2 linked regions of the Schizosaccharomyces pombe genome follow. The protein of the gene in region 2 interacts with the protein of the main gene of each other region in a pairwise test. Each region holds a gene or a part of one and is shown on either strand. Other genes may lie near its edges.

Evidence for each region.
Region 1: the proteins of nup44 (region 2) and mdv1 interact in a two-hybrid assay, tested with the Schizosaccharomyces pombe proteins (2 studies listed by BioGRID).

Annotation. Positions count from the first base shown.
Region 1 is NC_003424.3:1,729,602-1,740,929, reverse strand, and holds mdv1 (CCR4-Not complex subunit Caf4/Mdv1), read right to left. Parts: upstream 6,336-11,328; 5' UTR 5,938-6,335; coding exon 3,982-5,937; 3' UTR 3,623-3,981; downstream 1-3,622. Other genes in the region: potassium ion/proton antiporter Kha1, read left to right, coding at 1-314; calcium/calmodulin-dependent protein kinase Cmk1, read left to right, coding at 1,843-2,006, 2,054-2,108, 2,176-2,266, 2,339-2,669, 2,732-3,098; plasma membrane ammonium transmembrane transporter Amt2, read right to left, coding at 7,765-9,303; SPOM_SPAC664.13 (uncharacterized protein), read right to left, coding at 11,072-11,328.
Region 2 is NC_003423.3:2,371,488-2,381,629, reverse strand, and holds nup44 (nucleoporin Nup44), read right to left. Parts: upstream 3,668-10,142; 5' UTR 3,596-3,667; coding exon 3,580-3,595; intron 3,536-3,579; coding exon 2,340-3,535; 3' UTR 1,966-2,339; downstream 1-1,965. Other genes in the region: transcription elongation factor complex subunit Iws1, read right to left, coding at 1-967; TOM complex subunit Tom5, read left to right, coding at 1,628-1,693, 1,745-1,787, 1,841-1,881; COG complex subunit Cog5, read left to right, coding at 4,566-5,020, 5,070-5,142, 5,183-5,890; tbf1 (DNA-binding factor Trf1), read right to left, coding at 5,999-7,456; SPOM_SPBC19G7.18C (uncharacterized protein), read left to right, coding at 8,706-8,853, 8,902-8,972, 9,019-9,558; pdc2 (topoisomerase II-associated deadenylation-dependent mRNA-decapping factor), read left to right, coding at 10,047-10,123. UniProt on the Schizosaccharomyces pombe protein: Functions as a component of the nuclear pore complex (NPC).

The sequences.
Region 1 (11,328 bases), on a different chromosome or scaffold from region 2:
TTAATGTAGTAAAATTTGGAAATTTAAACTCACTTTTGAGTTGTCTTCATGAACTTATTCAACCTGCAACCTTGACCCCTTCTTTCGAGACAGAAAAGAGTATAACCATGTTTTTAGGCTGTAGGGATAAACAAGCTGTGAGCGAAAAACTTGAGGTGGCTGCACTGTCGGAGATGAAGAAATTGGGTTACATTGAGTCTAGCTCAGAATTTGGTATGCTTGCAGGTTTAATTCCGTTAGTGCTGTTGAGCAATTTTCCATTAATAGATTTCTTTTTAGGGAAGGCACCTACAAAGATGGTTCAAGGTTATTGATTAATTTCAGGTTTTTATTGCATCCATCTCATAATTTATTTTTAATTAATGATTTAAATGGTTTTCATAATTTATTTGGAATCCAAAGGATCGACTATATTATTTTCAATGTTAGAATTAATGCATTCATCTCTATTCGTTATTCGCAATGTAGAAAACTTGTTTTATACCTTAATAAGAAGAAGTTACTTAGGGTTCTTCTAGTTTTTGGCTATATCGCGATTTATCAAAAAGTGTTATTTAAGAGTTGAATAGTTTACATTGTAGACTCATCTTCCTTCAAAAACCCATGTGAGTTTAAACCCTTATTGGTTTCGTCTGTTTAAACCGATACTTTGAATTTATATCATAGCAAGGGTAAAGTACTGTAGAACAAATGGAGTCAAGCATGCATGCGCATTTTTTACTATTTACTTCTTCAACATTATCTCCAATACATTTCGACTAACTATCATACAAGAAGCATATGAGAAATTAACATACCATACTCACTGCTATTGTAAAATGTATGGTATTCCTTTCAGAAGGTAGTTCGGTTCTTTCTCAAATAACTAAATACCTCTTCCAAGATGGAAAAGATTATAAAAGTAATCATTCAAAATCGATTTTATTAGCTCAATTTACACTCAGTCTGTTTTTCACAATTTTTGTTACAGTATGAATCTTTGTTACGTGGTTACCTTTTCGTATTCTGTTCTATGTTGTTAATACGCTTACTGTATTTAAACAAACTAAAATGCATGGGATAGCGCATTATTACGGTATACGTTAGTGACCAATATTCGCCATGATGGCTTGTTATATCTACTTAACTCTCATGAGCTGGTAATATCAGCGAAATTTCAAGCAGTTCGCGTTTTGCCAATTGCTCATAAAACTGCGATTTTTTAAGGATTGTATAATTAAATTCAATTCTTTAAATAATTGTGTTGCATTGTTACAGTGTTTGGTGGTTTCAATACGCTAATTGTAATTTTGATCTTTCTGATCTTGTTTTCTCTTAGAAGAGGAAAATAGGTACGGAAATTACTGAACCGATTGGGAATTACCAGGATTTATGACTATACTGCAGACTACTGGTTTTGCAATTGCAAATCAGTTGGACGGTATTTATCAGACGCTGGTTTTCTTGTTATCTTCATCAATACTATTCGGGTACATTCAATATCAATATCCTGTTAAATCCGAGGATTTCAATATACCTTTTCCAAATTTTTCCATATTTACAAGTTGAGGCTAAGCACTTATTGTCATAAGTTGGTGGACAGTCATTGCGCTGCTTAGATCATTCTGTTATTGAACCACCGTTTAACTCAACAGCCTGCTTCGCGCAAATAATATTTTCTTTATTGTTTCTACGGGATTTTTTTCATTTACATACCTTTACATTTTTGGTTTCATAAAAGAATTCTGTAGTACAGAATTGTTTATGGCACCATCTAACAATACAATAATTTACATTAAGAGAAACCTTTTACGTTTACCTTCGTTGGCATTGGAATAATTCATCTATTGATTCTTTACAGCTATGCAGCAAACATACAAACCAAACACCTCGGCCTTGAAAGACGGTGCTCCAAAGGCTACGGTGGATCAGAAACAACTATTACCTTGCAAATATCGTGTCGGTCGGGTTTTGGGAGGCGGAACATATGCGACGGTTCGTGAAGCCGTTCATATCGAAACTAACAAGTAAGTATATTTTAAATTCGAGTTGTTTGCTGACCAAATTTTCATAGAATGTATGCGGCTAAGATTATGAATAAAAAGATGATGGAGAAGAAACAAGACTTTGTAAGTAAAGACTTAAGTACTTACAGCATCCTTATTTACGTTTACTAACATGTTTTTGGTGGTATAGGTGAAGAATGAAATTGCAATTCTAAAACGTGTTTCTTATGAACATCCTAATATCTTACACTTGGTTGATTTTTTTGAAACTGTGAATAATCGTATGTCTCCGATTTCGATTTGATGAATCAAATGTTATTGTGATGTGTTTTGTTCACTAACCCTTGAAACAGTGTACTTAATCACTGAACTGGCCACCGGTGGTGAACTTTTTGATAGAATATGTGCCAAAGGTTCATTTTATGAGGCCGATGCTGCTGCTTTAATGCGTACTACCACATCAGCAGTTAAGTACTTGCATGACAATGGAATTGTACATCGAGATTTGAAGCCAGAAAATTTACTTTATCGCTCTAAAGATCCGAATTCAGATTTGTTAATTGCCGATTTTGGATTGTCCCACTTTTATGAGGATTCTCAATACTATATGCTCATGACGGCATGTGGGACACCAGAGTACATGGCACCCGAAGTCTTTCGTCGAACCGGATATGGAAAACCTGTGTAAGTTGATCAACTACCATTTTAATTCAGAAGTTATGTATCTTGACTAATACTGTTTATAGAGATATGTGGGCTATTGGCGTTATAACTTATTTTTTACTCAGTGGTTATACTCCATTTGCTCGACCTTCTCAGGTTGAAGTTATAGAAGCAATTTTAGCTAACGAGTACACTTTTAACGATCCTTGCTGGTCTGGCATTTCAGAAACGGCCAAGGACTTTATTAAAAAATGTTTGGAAAACGACCCTTCGAAACGTTTAACTGCTGCTGATGCGTTGAAGCACCCCTTCCTGTCTGAAAAGCGTCCCGCAACCTCCAATTTGCTTCCAAACGTCCGGGAAAATTTCAATGCAAGAAAAACGTTCCGTACTGCCTATAACGCTGTACGTGCTTTCAACACTTGGAAAAAGCTTGAGAATAAGCATTAATTATACACATCTTTTCTTATAACTTTCTTATTTTATCTTGTTATGACTTATGACTTCTTTATTATCTTTTGCCCTCAGTACATACTTTTTTGGTATTAACACTCTTACATGTTAAATATATTCTTTGTGATTTGGAATGCTTGGACCTATCATGTTCTCTACTTAGTTTTTAAAATAGCCTCATACAAAATGCTAAAAGTTATGTCGATGTTTTAAAAAGTAACGCTACCAGTTTTCTGACATTGTTAGACTGTTGACGACAGATGAACGCAGTTGTTTAATTCTCTATATATATTGCAGATGTAAAATTTTGAAATTTTAGCATTTATGACTATTTATGCTTCAAAAATAAAATGACCATTCAGTTAATCTGAAATATAAAAAGAGCTTGGTTATTTCCATATTTTACTCACTGTGTGAGTTCAAATTGCTAATTTCAAAAAGATTCTTCAATACTTATTATGTGTAGTTGACATTAAACACGCTGAGCGTGTTTTGTAAACTGGATCAACAAAATGAAATACAACATCTCAGATCAGAATGAGGTTGCGTACTTCATACTAGTAAAACCAAAAAAATGTAAACTAGAAAAGATTTTTATTTACTAAATTTTAAACCTACAGTATAAGAAGCAGAAGGGAGGTGGTGATCAAACAATTTGCTTTGAGAATTTTTTTAAATATTTTGAACAAAATTAACATCACAGTTTTTTATTCGCAATGTCTCGTTCCTTTTTATTTGTCCATAAATAAATAAAAAAACCAAACAGAAGTTAATACCCATTAACCAAAGCATAAAGACATAAAATTTTAAAATTAACGTTATCCAGATTCAACACAATAACGAGAGTATAATAAATAAAGGTGTGGATAAAAAATACAAATTAAGCAGAAAAAACGCTAACAGATCCATCAGACTTTCCATCCACCAAAAAGCGATCTTTATATTGAACAGAAGTAGGTACTGAGTTAGGTTCGGCTGCTATGGAATCAGAGTGAGAAGGAATTGAACAAATCCAGTTCCGATTAGATACAGTATCAAATATCCTAACATTTGGTTCATCAGATGCTACAGCAAGACGACCTTGATACAGTCTTAAGGAATTCACTTTTTTCTCCATAGGTATAATATTAATTGGCGAGCCACTTCGTAAATCCCATATTCTAACAGAATTGTCATAGCTTCCGGAATACAAATGGTTGGAATCGAATTGCAAAGAAGAAATAGGAGCTGTGTGCCCAATGAAACTTCTCACAGGAAGACCGATTCGCAAATCCCAGATGCGAATAAGTCCATCGACAGTCCCACTAGCCACAGCAGCATCTAAGCAGTCTAAAGCTCTGATGAAAGGTTCTTGTTTGTAAGTGTCACTGACCAAAATTTGACTAGTAGATGTATCATGAGTTTCCGCCCACACAAAGTCCAAAGTTTGAATACAACGCCCCGTAACGATATCCCACTGTCGAACAGTTTTATCATCGGCACCGGTTATAAGCACATCATCACTAGATAATGCTAATGCAGTGACAGGGGCAGTGTGAGATGTTAAAACATTTGTGGCATTGTCAACAGGTTGATCGGGAGGAGAATTAAGGCTCTCTTCAACAGGATTATCCTTATGAAGTACATCATTATCTAAATTCCATAACCGCACGGTTGTATCCATAGAGCCAGTAGCAATAAAGGAGTCTTGAATCGCCAGACAAGAAACATAATCAGAATGACCTTTCAATGAACCCAGGTATACAACACCCGCCATATCCCAAACTTTCACAGTTTTGTCAGTCGAGGCCGTAGCTAAAGTTCCAAAAGGATGGGAAAAATCAAGACTCGTAATATATTCAGAATGAGCTTGAAACTGCTTTACGAGATTTCCAACTATATAATTTTGATTCACAGATGATTCAGTATTCTCTGGTGCTTTAGAAAAAGCGGAATTCTGTTCAAAGTAATCTGATACCACTTCACTAGCCGTAGATGGCCTTGGAGCTCTTGGAGAGATAGCCCTAGCAGATAAATTATCTGTATACTTGTCGTGTGTATCATCAAAAACATCGGGGTTAGCTCCATTTTTACCCGCTTCAATTTGTGAAGGAATTAAATCATGAGAATATGAGCTATACAAATCTTGAGCATCCGAATCTAACATCAGTTTCTCAACAGAAGCCAGCTTGGAAGTATACTTTAAATTCTGTTCCTCGATCTTGCTAAGGCGTTCAAGAACTTGCCTTCTTCGAGAATAGAGTTTGGACAACTCCAAATCAATCTGTGCAAGTTCGCTAGAATTAATGAGCTTTTGAAGACGAAGTTGATTGCATTTCTTCACCAATTTTTCGTGTTGTAAGCTATCGGGCTTAAATTCAGAAGAGTCGGAAACCATTGACACATCAATCGATGATACATTTTTTTTGCCTTCCTTTTGGTTGGAGCTTGTTATCGGCAAAGGTGAAGTGTCGGAATGATCGTGAGCAGTGACTGAGTAACCTTCAAGCAAACTATAAGACGTTTCTTGATGGTCCGGAATATCAAACAAAAGAGGATCGGGCAATGTTTGAGCTTGAACTGGATCAACACCGTTATGTGATAAAAACCATTCATTAAATTGGGATTTGGATAAACGATGGCGTAAAAAAGGATGAGAAAGGCCACGCACGAACAGAGATATGGGATTTCTTTGAGGTGTAACTGGACTAGAATCGAAGAAATTCCACGTTGTATAAGCTATGGCTTTAGTCCAATAAAAAACATCTTTTCTTAAACCTTTCGAAATAGTGGGAGTTAACGAATCATTTGGAATTTTTTGTGAAGAATCTTTGCTCTTTGAATTATTATCAGTCATAAAACGAAAAAAGCCAACAATTAGAAGAAAAGCTAGTGAACTTTAATACTTTAAGGAATTAAAATAATGAGGTAAAGGGTTCAGATCTCCCAAACGTAAAAGCGGTTAAAAAAGGTGGCTTTACGGAGATAAATGATATATCCAGATGAAGGCCTTAAAAAAGAAAGCAATTTTTAGATGAGTTGAGAAATAAAATCTTTTCAATCGACGCTACGTGTAAGGTATAAGAAGTTCAATAAGAGTATGATTCCCGCACGTACTTTTACAAAACAAAAACCAATGGGAATTAAGCAAACAACTAAAATTTGTAGTAAATGTCCAGCTCTTTTAATCTCAGCTTGTATTTGATAAAAATCAAGAGACAATTGAATATACAAGCTTTTTTGTCACTGGTGTGTGGAAGAAGGAAGGAAAAAGCAACGTAAGTACTAGAGGGATGAGCGAATCCAATGGCGGTAGAGAAAGTAGAAATGGAATATGTAGGTCAAAAATGAAAGAGAAGTAGAAAAAAAAAATCCATACTATGAATAAAGTTATTACTTCAACTGTTTGGCACTTGTAAGAAATTATCCTCATCGAATTTATCTTATTAGCACTATAAATAAATTCACACAATTTACTGAAACAAGAGTACCAAAGTTCATAAAAATTATAAATTATATATCTTACTATAGACTGCTAATTTTACTGGCCCTTCAAACCCTCTTACAGTTTTATTGAATATATATATAAATTGACATCTTAACAGTAATGCAATAAAATAAATAAAACATTTAGTAAAGCGGAATGATGGTTCAGACATTACATATTATTTTTGTAATAATGAGTAGAATAACTCAACATGTTTCTTTCTTGAATTTTATATTTTTTTAACCTTTACTTTAATTTGATTTGTTATTTTTATTAAAAAATTAAAAAAATTCATAGGAACTCATCATCTATTGCCTAATTTAAGACTCAAAGACTCTTCTTTATTCAAAACTGAATATTATTTAAATACATATAAAATATACATATATGGATACAAGAGATTCGCTAATTATCAATTTCAATCGCCAAGTTTATATAGAAATTTCATATTCAATATTCTCATTAAAAATACGTTCTAAAAGTAATTAGATATAAACTACTAAGTTTAACCCCATTCAACCAAGTCCCGTTTAGCTCAATCGGCTTAGAGCGTCCGGCTTTTAACCGGAAGGTTGCGAGTTCGAGTCTCGCAGTGGGAGTTTACTTTTTATTTTTTGTTTCGATGCAGTAGTGAGGTTTTCACTTCCGGTAAATTCGTAAACAGTAAATAGTTATTAAAGCCTAATTCGACGTACTTTTTTGTACCTATTCATTGGTTTCATGGTGAATGATGATTATACAAAATACAAACTTATTATGACTGGAAACAAAGATTGACTTGCTCATTTTAAATCTTTTGGCTTATAAGATAATTAATTCTCTTCATATTTGGATACACAAATTACAAACCAAATTCGCATAAAAATATTTTCATTACAATTATTAGTCTTGCCTTTAAACCGAATTCATTTTAAATGCTGTTAACAAAAAAAAAACCTTAAAATTATAATTTAAGATTCTGACCTCTTTAGAAGTAAAAACAAGCAAATCTTTCAAGAAATTTCTAGTCTTTGTAATTTTGTTCAAAACTTCCCAAACAGCGACCTTGTAGTTGTGCTATTTTCTTTTTTTCTTTAAACAATCATAAACCAATCTACCAAAATTTTCATTTCTTTTATTAACTTAAAATCTTTTCTCCAATTCAACCTTTTACTTTTTTTTTTTAAACCCAAATAACTTTGTACGATGCAAAAAGATTTAGATCGTAAGTCCAAGCTCCAATGGGTTTGTTGATTCTAGAATCTTGCCGGGAGCAGCCACATTTCCAGTAGGTTGAGCAACGCCATTGGAAATAATGATTTCTTCAGGTACACCGGCAGGGGAAATCTTCCAATGCTTATATTCACGACGTTCTTCAATATAATCAAACGCGTATTCACCTATTTGATCAGCATCCACACCAATTTCTTCAGCATCAGGGCTCACTCGAAGTTGAAGGTAGGGAATTTTGTCCGTAATGAATAAAATGATAAACGTGACAACAAAGTCGTATGCACCAACAGCACAAATATAGGCCATTTGCAAGCCTAGTTGGCGCCAATGGTGATCAAACCAACCACCTCTGATTTTGTTTTCACCAACATAAATACCATCCATTGCTGCGATATAATCAACGGCAAACAAACCATTCAAAAAGGTACCCACAAAACCCGCAACACCGTGGATAGCGAAAATATCCATCGCATCATCAATGCGCATATGTGACTTTAACTTAATGGCCCAATTGCAACATAAGCCAGTAATAGCACCAATTGCCAAAGAGGCATGAGGACTCACAAAACCAGCACAAGGCGTTGCAGCCACCAAACCGGCAACAACCCCGGAACAAAAACCTATGGTTGACCATTTCCTAGTGCGAAAAATGTAGTCGTAAATAACCCATACTAAACCAGCTACAGCACCTGCTAAGTTTGTGTTGGTGATTGCCATAGCGGCTCGCAGATTGGAGCCGTAAGCACTACCACCGTTGAAACCAAGCCAACCAAACCATAGCAGAGATGTTCCCAATACAACATTGAGCACAGAATGAGGGCGAAATTGTTCCTCAACAAATTTGGATCGACGTCCTAAACAAACCGTATACGCCAAAGCTGCAAATCCTGATCCAACTTCTACAGGTCCTCCGCCAGCGAAATCGTATACACCAAATTTAAAAGCCCAACCATTTGGATTCCAAATCCAACACGCTATGGGACAATAAACGACAGTGAGCCACACAAATGTGATGATGAGCATTGGACCAATACGACCTCTTTCAGCGGCGGCACCAGTGAAGAGGGCTACAGTAATTGCGGCGAACATTCCTTGAAAATTTGCAAATACAAGCTCGGGAATATTATTGCTACCAGGAGAGTAATCGGCAAGTGTGCGAATAAAGGCAAAATGACGAAGATTGCCAATATAACCAGAGGTTCCAGTTTGAGAAAAAGCAAGAGAATAACCCCAGAAATACCATTGGAAAAAACTAACACATAAACCAAGCATAGAGAGCATGATAAGAGCCAATGTATTTTTCCTTCTTGCTAAGCCAGAGTAGAAAAAAGCCACACCAGGCACCATAATAAGACACAATGGAGTACAAGCTAAAATCCAACTAGTGTTTCCATAATCATAAAATTTATTAAGATCTTCGTGCAAAACATTTCCACCACTACCACCACTAGGTGTAGCTGTAGCTGGCAGTACTGAAATATAAACAGTAGAAGTTGCTGTGGGAATTGAATTCACTGACGACATGGCAACGAATTTTTTAGAAAAAATTTTTTCTTTCTTTTTTATACCTTTGAAATTAAGAGAGGGATTTAAAAATGATTAAATGTTAAATTGGATTGGAAAGGTCCTAAAGATTCTGAGTTATAAAACTTTTTGGTCAACAAAGAAGCAAAGCACAGTAATAAGACTATTAGTAATTGATTCAGACACTAGAATCAGTGATGGTTAAAAATACTTAATATGATTTAACCAAAAAGGAAGTTGTTACGTAAAAGGGGAACTCTTAAAACAGAAAATCAATGATCTGATCTATATTTTCAAAAAGAAAAAAAAGTAAAATATCCAAGGGAAATGGATAAATATTCTAGCATTTATTAAAAAAAAACACTATTTTCTCTTGAATTTAAGTCAAGATCGAGATATAATCTTCAGCAATTTCTCAAACGAATCAAAACTTCGAGTGACTAGATGTAAACAGCACTTTTACAAGTAGTATAATCTCAAGAAACGATGTCGACTTCCACAATCCCAAACATTCAAAAATTCGTGAAATTGACAATGGCGCTGTTTGGGGAAGAAGTTGTGTTTGACGCTCACCGAAAATCGCTATATATGTCAGTAGTAAATAACGGGGGCACACAGAGGCGACTTCCAGCACGAGTAAAAAAAACCAGGTAGATAGCGGATAATTTCTTTTTTAAATAAATGTTTTTTAACTACAAGGTAGTGATGGTTTTTCTATCCGAAGCTGTAACGGATGACTCGGGAAAAAAAATTCGTTCACAGAAGGTTGTTACTTTTTTGAGATGGGAATAGATGAGAAAGACCGGCATCGTCACAACAATGTACGAGTTTGCCTTTCAGTTAAATGGATTTTCAACACAGCTATTTAACTATTGTGGAGCATGGCCTCCTTTTCCATTCAACTCCTTCCCCCGGGTAGATTTAATGTACAGACAGCAACGACACACGAAATGTAGTTTTGCCTTGAAAACAGTAAGTTTATAAGTAAAATAGGATGGAACAGCGCCTCTAAGACAGTGAATGTAGCAAAAAAAAATTTTTAGTAATTCAACAGAAAATGTAAACAAGTAACTTTCAGATCTGGATTATTCTCCACAGAACGATAGTTGAGATAACAACCTTATGCAAATTTAAGTATGAAGAGATAGGCGATAAACTGCAAATGTAACTGATAGCTGGATAACCAAATTCTATCAATATCTAAACGGTGGGTTATAGATTCGTTTAAAGTTGAATAGTAAGCAGCTTTCACCCTGGATTTGTTGCTCAGTATTGTCGGCAGTCGACCCGTCAAAAAAATGCCACGGAATGGAAGCTGAGGCATAGACACGTGTGAAAGAGAAGAAAACCATTTAATTATCTTTATTTCATTACAAAATGAGATTAAAAAAATGCAAAAATAAAGAACAACTATGCGTGCTTACTGCCTCTTCAAATAGCAGCAACAGAGTATCTAGTTGCGCAAAATAGTAAACTAGAAGGTATCCATTTCTTGCTTCTCTGTTTTTCTAGCTGCATTTTTTTAAGTTATTCTTTCTCTTTTACGTTATTTAAAGCTTCACACAAGCCTTGTTAGGTTTACAGACCAAGTGGATTGGTTCATTTTAATGAGTTTGATGCTAAGTGTACAAAGGATGGTAGGAAGGAATAAAAAACGTAACTTGCCATGTCTCTTCAAACGAAAGGATTCTTTAAACCTATATGAAAGAGTAGCAGGAAGCATACAGGATTGAGCTAATTCTATAGTCATTCCCATTCGCAAATAAATCTAGCAAGGTTTGCTGGATCCAGTAAGGAAACCATCGAGGTTGTCATTATCGAGTATTTGATGAAAGAAATTCATTTGATCCCGTAATGAACCCATTTCTTTTTCAAAGCGAGCCATAACAGCTTCTGTGACAGCCAAAGAGCGCTCAATGGATTTATAATCTTCAGATTCGGTGAATTCATTAGACTGAACGTGTTCTAACCCATTTTCTAGAACATCTTCGCTTTCCTTGGAATATTCATCAACTACAATAAGAC
Region 2 (10,142 bases):
TAGCACTTCTCTTTATAATGGGACGACTCCATTCGCTAACAAGGTTGTCAGCTATTCTCTTAATAAATGGCTCGGGCTTTTTCGAGATAGTATAAAACAAAACAATACGACCTATTTTACTTTCACGAAGATGTTCTGTCTGGATGGGCAATTTTGTTAAAATGTCCATAAGAGATCGTTGGATATTCAACGCTGGTAACGAACGATCTGGTAAAGGTTCAAGCCACATTCGAACGGAGTCAAGGACGTTATTATCCAGTATAGTATCGTAAAGATGGGTCTTTCTAAGTACAGCATCAACTAGTGGAAGCATCTTTAACTTCTCAGTAGCCGGTAGTTGTTCCGAATTCAATTCAGCATCACGAAGTGCAGCCAAGCGCATTTGTTCGCGTAGACGAAGGACTTCATCATCAGCCATCTGTTCAAGATTGTCTTCATTGGATCGCTTCTTTGTTCGAGTTGGCTTAAGAACAGCGTCCATTTGAAGATCCAACTCTTTTTTTGCGGCTAGCGTGGGATCCAATTGCTTTTGTTCAGTCAAAACTTCTTCTTCATTCTCCCCGAGCTCATTTAATTCATCATTGAGAGCATCAACAGTCGATGAACGCTTACCACGACGTCTACGTGGCTTTTGCTCTTTCCTAACCTTCCTTGGAACTTCAAGGTTTTCTTCAATCGTATTTGGCTCTTGCTTCTTCTTAAACGTAGGTAGATTATAAATAGTAGGTTCCTCAGCTTCACGTCCGATTTTGGATTCGTCAAAGTTTTCAAATTGATTTTCATCCAAATCCGATAATTCATCTTCAGAGAAATCAAGGGCTTCTTCCTTATTATCTAAATCTTCATCCACATGAGTTGTAACATCAGCAACGTCTACTTTCGTATCAATGGTTTGATCATTCTCGGAAGTTTTTGCCTCAGATTCAACTTGCATATTTTCAAGCTCAGCCTTTTCTTCTTCTGACATCTTTGGAGAATCAGAAATTTGACAACTTAATTAGAATTGGGAGTCTGAAAAAATTTCAACGTTTACTGCCGCCAATATGTAGAAGTAATGAAATAGAACTAGCGTAGCCTCCACCATTGTTCAAAAACTGTAGATTTCGGTAATGCATGTATACTGTCAGCAATACTACACTACGCTATGATACACTACTTGCGTATCACTATATGTCACATGTTCTAATTATATATCGTACCATGTATGATACGATATGGAGATTGATCTTAATGATAATCTATTAAGATCTATATTATCTGAATACTATAAATAGAGCTACTGCTGAACCTCGTTCCTCAGTTCAGTTATGAGCTATATTAGTGATAGGTAACATCATAACCTAGTTAATACAATACCTATATCCAGTTGCTACTTATACAACCTGTGTATTGTAATATAATAGATCACAAGGAAAACTTACCGCAGCTCTACGTATCCTTAAATCAGATACCAAACTGCGTAGCTTACAATATAGTGACAAACAACATGATATAATTAACGATGTCTAACGATGCGAGGTGTACCATTCAAGCTATTCTCTGTGTCGGTGAATGTTCCAACTTATTCCAGCTTCTGCCAAACACACAAGCTCTTTCTCGAATAACCGTTAATAAACGTACTATAAAGATGTTTTCTGGTGCAGGACGCCCTAGTAAAGAGCAAATCAAGCAGTATGATAATTTGGCTGTCGGCGTATGTAATTATCTCTCGTATCTATAGCATATTAACGAAATGGATAATTAGGAAATGAAAAAGGGTGCCTCAGTTGCCGCTGTCTTGTTGTTAAGTAAGCTTTTTTAATTGTAATGGTTTCACTTGGTTTTCTAACTTTTATATAAGCTCCTTTTGTTATTTCTTTTTTTCAAAAGATGCGAGCATAAAAACATTTATTCCAAGTGTTGGCTTTTGTGCTATAAAAATGGATGGTTATTGTACGTCGAATACAATTTTATGATCGACTGTATGTAAATAATCAGACAATTTATTTTTACCGTTCTTGATCGAGTCGTAAATTTTACATGAGTGGGTTGAATTATTTGATTTTGAATGTAAAGTCACTAAAAAATGGTTATTATAGAAATCGTTCATGGATTGAACTGGTAGCTAAATGTGTATAGAGAGTTCATAGATTTCCTGTGCGATGCTGCGCCGTTATATGTAATTTTAAGTCAGTAATATCTTTTGGACCACTTGTCAATCAATTGACTCCCAATTAGATGAATTTCTTAAAAAAAATTCGGTTACCAGAAAAATAAAAAAAGGAACCTAACTATGATTTTCATGTTGGTCGTTTCTAATTTAATTAAATACAGAAAATAACGTGAAGTAGGAATTACCGCTATTTTTGTGATTGAGGAACGTGCTCAGTTAATTGCTTGTTCAACGTCGCTAAATCTTCTTGCATCAGTTTTACCACATATGAAAGACCAACTTGATGATCCCTTAAGACGTCCGTAATGACTTCTAGTTGATCAGAATTTTTTCGCCAATCCACTACTCCCTTAGCCAAATTACTTCGCTGATCTTCAGATATCTTTTCTCCTTCAAAAATAAGAGTAATTCTTGCCCATATTTCGTTGAGCCGACCAAAAATTTCAGGATTATTTAGCGATTTTGTTAAATCATCTAATTTTTTACGTAGCTCTTCTTCATTAGGTTTTAGTGCATAACCACGATGTCGTAAAACATGTACTTTAATTGCAAGTCGTAAAATTCTTTCAGACAGACGGACGTGACGATTTTTCGCCTCGGCAAGTTTGATGCTAAAATCAAGGTCGTGTTTGTTACTTAATCTTCCTAAAGTTTCAACAATTTCACGCATCCGAATACGGTACGTGTTCACTTGTTGAATCTGCATATTAATTCTTTTTTGTACATCGGGGAATCCTACGGCCAAAACGGGAACAACACTGTTGCTTGGTCGATTAGCAACAGCTTCGTCCCATTTTTGTTGGTTATAATTTGGAGGCTTAACATATAGTGCAGCTTGCTCAACAGGAACCTTGTTATAAAAGAACCGCTGAAAAGCACAATCAGGATGGTTGAGATTCCATGCATTCAAGATTTTCTGCACTTGCTCCTCCACGGACGGAGGTTGAGCAGGGCCATATTGAGCATTGCTCACGGTCGCATTTGGGGATATACCTGAAGACAGCAATAAGCTGCTAGGGATCGTAGCATTGGTTTCGTCTACTGGTTTTGTGGGATTGTTGACTGTACTCCACGAAAATAATGGTTGCGTATTTGAGTTGCCGGTTCTTGATGCAGCGTTTTGGCCAAATACAGTACTTTGTGGGGCATTGGTGGTAGTATTGGAGAAAGAAGTGGTCGGCTGTTGTTGTGTTTTACCGAAAATTGAATTTCCAAACGGTGGAGCTGACGAAGAACCAGTAGGGCCTCCTGCACCTACATTAGTGTTTGTGGACCCAAAAATAGATCCAGAACCGAAAGGTGCAGTTGGTTTTGTGGTATTCGACTGGCCAAAAACGCCAGTTGAGCCAATGGAAGGTGCCTTTATTGACGACCCTTGTTGACCTACAGTCGTTAGCAACTTATAACTGATGAATCTCAAAGCATACCAAAAGAAAATGCCATAGCGATTTTGCAATTCTTTTACAAGGGAAGCTTGGCTCTTAAATTCTGTCTATTTGATGGGTTGCAAAATCTAGAGTGAGTGATAGCTATAGCTTCACAATAAAGTCAGTCTGCGGTTAAGTTCGTTAAATGATGCCCTATTTTCAGGAAAGCTACCCTATAGCAATTTTGAGATATATTGCGTACTACTTTATTCAATTTACTCTTTCCTTTGGAATTCAAATTATTACTGTTATTCTCGAGATTTATTGAAACTTCAAATTTTGAATTAAATACCCACAGTAAAATTTTTTTTAGACAAACTACAGCATATTTTTCAAGTATATTCTTAGTCAATTTCCTATAGCAATTTGTAAGTTAATCTCTTCGTTAACTCCAATAAATTTAAATTTGCTTTATTTGAGAGCAAAGATATGAATTCGTATTACATTTTAGTAGTTTATATATACATTTACTGCATTTTTAGTCACTTTGTTTGAAAACTGTAACTGCCTGACGAATGTTTACTTGAGGAGTATGTTGAAACCATACTAACTCTTAGAGCCGCGGATTTCAGTTGGAATTTTAAAAGCCTTCGTGGTTCGATAAAATTCAACGTTCAAATTGATAAGTTTTTCAATCTTCTATTTGAAAATCTCTTTCTTTGTTCTTTAGAATATGAATGAGTAGCATGTTACTTACAATAGTCGGTCAAAGTGTCTAAGGTATACGCTCTCATATACTACATTAGTTGCACCAGACGAAGTAAGCGTATACTTGCAGGATAAAGTTGTAGTGTTATCGTGTTTCGAATAGAAGTGCTAGAATACACTGTTCAATTGCGGATTTTACTTGTTCAAAACATTCGTTGTAAGATTTGGTATCGATTCTGCGTTTTACGATTGATCGTCAAATAAACTAAAGTTAAGTATCATTAAAATCTATGAAATAGCTTGTAAAAATTTCGTTTAAAGCGCTTAAAATTCCTGTTATGGAGTTTCGATATGATTTTTCAGATTACAAAAAATCAGATTTCGATCCAAAGGCGCAGGCTGAACGAGTGTTAATCTCTGTTCATGCTGACTCCGATGTTAACGAAGACAAAGAAGTCGCCAGAAAGAGGTTGGGGTATGCACTCAAAGAAGTAGAGCGGCAAATTACCGATTTGATTGTGCATGAGGAAACCACGTTGACGAAAAATGTATCTAGTTCTTTGAATGCTCAGTCATATTTGCAAGATATCGAGGGAAAACTAGAACAATTGATGTTGGTTTATGAAAGAATTCGTTCGCTGGTAGTCATTCCATCTGAAAATTTGGGTCCCCTTCATGAGGCAATTGTAAATTTGCATTCAACATACATGACTTTGTATTGGCTTGGGGAGTTTTTTGGCATACAAGCAAAGTTATTTCCCCTTTTCCAGGGATCGATTAATGAAAATGAAAAGTATGCTTATTGTTTTGCTCAATGATTTTGGTATGCTAACAAATTCAAGACTTTCACGCTATTATCAAGCATCTTTACTATTACAAGAGTCTGATCAATTATTAAGCCGGTTTCCATTAATGGTATGAAATATATTTTCTGTTTCTTGGCTAATTATTGTAGAAAAGACAATCGTCCGTTTCTTTACTCTTAAAACTTAATATAACCAATCGATCGAGAATTATAAAAGAAACATCCAGCTATCTATTATCACAAGAAGATCAACTTTCTTTCAGTGTGAACTCTAATGGTTTTACAAATGCTTGCTCTGTTTTATATATGTTAGACAAATATTTGTTAGAACAGGACTTAACTCGTCTTTTAAGTTCTCGTATACAGAAGGCCATTATACAATTCGACTCGATTTTCCAACTGTCCCCCACTACACGAAGACTCCTACATAACAGTACAGATCCTTCAGCGGCAAATTCTACTATATGGTCCAAATTTGAAGACGGGTGGTACCAAATTTCAAAGATTGGTGCACAATGCGTCTTTTGGGAAAGGTCACTTCAAAAGGCTAATATTTGTAATCCAGACTACCCAAATTTATTAGAATATTTTCAAATGCAACCAAATTTTATCCTTGATGGTGCAACTATTTGTATCTATTTTTTCAAAGAGCTGGCAATTTCTATCAGCAGCAAAATGCAAATGCTTGATCGCCGTGATCCAATACTCTTGCGGGTATTCCGAAGCGATTTTCAGCGAGTTACGCATATTGTGGAACAAGCTATTGCCAGGTCATCCTCCGAAATTGTAAATAAAGATACACGGGAATGTTCAATTGTAATGAATAGCCTCCGAGTATTAGCACCAAAAAACCCATAGATTAATAATAATTATAATTTATACATAAAATGCCTCACGCTTAATCGTTTTAGTATTTAAAAAAAAATCGCAAACTTAATCAAGAATGAAATAAACTCCTGATACTACTTAATCTCGCCGAAGATCGCCTGTAACACATTGTAATGCTGCGGGGACCACCTGACCACTTTTGAGAAAAAATAGTTTCATATTGCGAGCCTTATCTTTCAACTGAACTTGATTGCGATATTTCAAAACTTCACTCTTTTTGCCTCCAGGACCATAAAGCTCCAAAATTTGGCTCCACCGGGGACCTTTTACTAAATCAAGACCATCAAGCAATGCTTCCTCTTCCTCTTTTGTCCAAGATCGACGATTGGCTACGCGCCTCGTACGCTTGTTATTTAGGTTATTATTTGTCATATGTCGAACCTGATCATAAAGAACGACACTGGATACATTTTGTGTTTCCGAGGAGCCGTCAAAAGTTGAAGATGGTATACCAAATGCGAGACTATCGGTCAGGTCTGAACCAGATTCTGAAGGGGATGATTCGGCTTCGCCAGCCTTAAACCTCAATCCGTTCTTCTTGGATCGTCGTTTGAATGAGTTAGCAGGAATTGGAATGGCCGAAATAGACGAGTAATTGTTATGGATGTAACAAGCAATCTCGCTTAAAAATTTCCCCCATGGATATACTTCATTTAAAGCTTCCTGTGGGGAGAAGTTTGCCAATCTTTCTTTTCTAGCCGTACATTTCTCTATGATTTGCTTTTCAACATAAGTAAGTTTGTCATCCAGCTTAGCATTTCGTCGGATAAGAAATCGATGGGCCATGTCAGAGGGAAAAAGATCGTTTAATATGTCTCCCTTGGGACGTTCTGCCTGAGCCATAGCCGAAATATATGCTTGGGTTTTGAGTTCCATATAAAGAGTGCCCTGATTAGTGAGGATATTAGATTCGTCCGGAGCAAAAACCTCCAGAAAATTTTCATTCAAATGAAAAAATCCAATTTGTAGCGCTCCATAGACAGCTGCCAGAAAGATAGCAAGATTTGCGCGTCTAGTCGTACTTCTTTGACTCGGCGTCCTCATACCAATGGCAGAGGAATAAATAAAAGATTCTTCAGTATAAATGTCCTTTACCATACGAAACATATTCATTACTTTGGTAAAGGCCATACCCATTTCGGAGGCTGGATTAGTGACAATGGCAGATGCCTCTTGTACTGGCTTCCCAAGAATTGACAAAATTATGTTACTAAGGTTACCAAGAGTAGGAATAAGAGATGTACGAAGAAGTTGCTGAGGTGTAGCAATAGGATTAGGTTGGTTGAAAGCGTAATCCATGCCTTGATTCATGCGTAAATAAAAGTCCGGCGTCATATTAAATTGAATTCCGGAAAGATCAAACCCTAAAGGAATTTCTGCATTTGGTGCAACATTTTGAGGCTCGAGTTCAGAATTTTGTTCTGATAATTGTTGTAACATTTGGCGATCTTGTTCGAGGGCAGTTGATTCTGGATCAATCGCTAAGCGTTTTTGACCCTTAAAATCATCACTAGGGTCTAAGGATCGTTTTGACATTTTCTTGGAAATCGTAGTTTTTCAATTGATCAAAGAAAATACAAACTATAGGTGAGAAGCAGTCTGATTAATCGATTGCTAAACAAATCCAAGGAGCAACGATATCCAGTGACTACCGAATAGTAAATCTTGCATCAAAAGTTCCAATTCTTCTTTACTACAAGGTTTTTTAAAATATATCCTTCCAATGCAGGCAAAGTAACAACCAAATGCGAGTTTTCAGGTATTTGTGTGTCAATTGATTAGGACAGCGTATATTTAATTGACTCGTAATAAAAAATCTCTTGCATATTTCACTTCATTGGCGTTCGTTATTTTTATTAACGAATTCCAATAAGCCAGATGTGTTAAATACCATTATATCGTTGTATTTCTTTACTAATTTTATCAACATTTCATTCCTTTGTAGAAGCGATATCTGGACATTATTAACTAATGAATAAGCTGTAACTACTACTAGTAGTTCCTACATATTAGATACAAAATCCGTCTAAATTGGCAAAACTTTTTAAAAAAAAAGACCAAGTCTGTATTGCATCTATTTCTCTATTTCTCAATTGCCTTCTTGTATTTTTCGTTAGCTGTGTAAAATGCAGTGGCGCTTGTTTAATTTACGAGATAGAATTCTGTGCTAAATTAGTTCAAAATGAATAAATACGGTTAATGACAAAGAATTATACGATATAGACTTATTTAACAACTGGGAAATTCCTGTTGAACATATATGCTTGCAATATTAAAATTCAAAACAATCGTATACCACGAATTGATGCCACCAAGGTCTGTTTCATTGAAAGATGGAATGTAAAACGTAGTTCGAAAAAGTTGCATATTTCATCACAAGTGCTTACCAGCCAAAAAAAATTCAGTCTATCAGTTTCATAAGAAATTTCAACAGAACAATCTTGTGTGTCAAATTTTTATTCAGATACGTATTTCTTATTCATGCCAAGTATCACTGTAGTAGCTGGGAAATTTAGATGGTCCTAATCCCTAGAGATTCTCCTTATTCACATCCTCTTACATCAGTATCCAAACTATCCATAAGGCAACAAGTGATGAGTACTATTACCTTTTAGTAGTAGTATTTTTACATTAGAAAGGCCTCAAATTTTTATATATTGGGTTAAATTGTACAGTCCGCAAATAATTTAATTACATTTATTTCGCTAACATAACCCGTATAAGCACGTTTCATATTCTTGACATTATTGTGTAGCCTCAGGAATCGCTTCCAACGTTTATTATCATGGATTTTTTTTGGGAACGAATGTTAAATGATCCTCAAAACCATTTCAGTGATGACCAAAAGGAATTTCTAAATCATGCAAAATACCGTGTCAAAAGAAATACGATTTTTGGGATGCTAGTCGGGTTTTCTCTCCCATTATACTTAGGTATGAGATTTCGAACAAGCAATTGAAAATAACTTTCTTATTTTTTAGCTCGTAACAAAAAGGTTACTCCAATCCGCTTGTATGCAACATCAATTATAGGAGGTCTTGCTGGAAATGGGGTAAGTTTTAAGTAATACTAAGCTCAAGCTTACAAATTATGAATAGGTTGCTCAGATTACTACTCTGGCATACAATTTGTCGGCTATACGTCAAAGAGATGATGGCTTTGAAATACTTCGCAAAATACAAGACTCCCTTATTCGACAAAGAACAACGATGCGACAAGGCAGATTTCCTTCTTCATCTTCTGAATTCCCTCCAAAAAACTCAAAATATCAATTACCTGGAAGTATGCCGAATACTGGTGCCTCTTCTAGTCAAGATCCCTTTACGAATTCACAGAGTACGGAGAAAGAGGACGCCATGTACTCTAAAGACAATGGCTTTGAAGATCGATCAAAGCCAGCGTCAGCATGGGAAGCTATTCGTAACCGTAATCGAAATACCGGTAACAATTCTTTTCCATTTTACGAAGAAGACTCGAGTGTTAAATCCACAGATAGTGCTTTTAGTGGACAAGAAAATTCTGAAGCATTTCCTTCCCGAACTTCTAATCTAGGCTCTGAACAGTTGGATGAACCTATTTCTCACGAACAGGAGGCATTTGATCAATTGATCTGGAATGATTCATCGTCTTCCAAATAATTTCCTTTATCTCTACATGTTACGATAATTTAAAATTAATTTTTACCAATTTGAGTGTCACTGAATTTATGATGTAAAGTAGTTAAATTTAGTAGATATTTCTTTTTTTCTATACTGCATTGCCAGATTGATGTAGCTTGCTTGAGCAAGCAACTTATGTATGTTCATGCATAAATTTCGATACATTTCAGTCTTTCAAAAAGAGATAAATTTAAATTCATATTTATGATATACATCTATACGTGATAGGTTTTAATAGCTAGTCTTGAAGATTGATGTGAAATAAAATAGGGATAGATTTACTGGTATAGCAAACCAAATAACAACTTTAAAATTCAGATATAAAAAAAGAACGCAAAGTAAAAATATATATAAAACGCCATGAATCAGTCTGCGTCGAACCAACCCAATCTACTGTCATGAGTATTGTTGTATGCAGTGCCGCCCACCTAGCTACCACCAACTTCTCATTACCATAAACCCATAAAATGTCATTTTTTGGGTTTAATACTACCCTTCCAAAGGAAAATATGTTTCCTAACGAAGGGCAGTTAGAAGAGGATGGGTAAGTCGTTAATATTAAT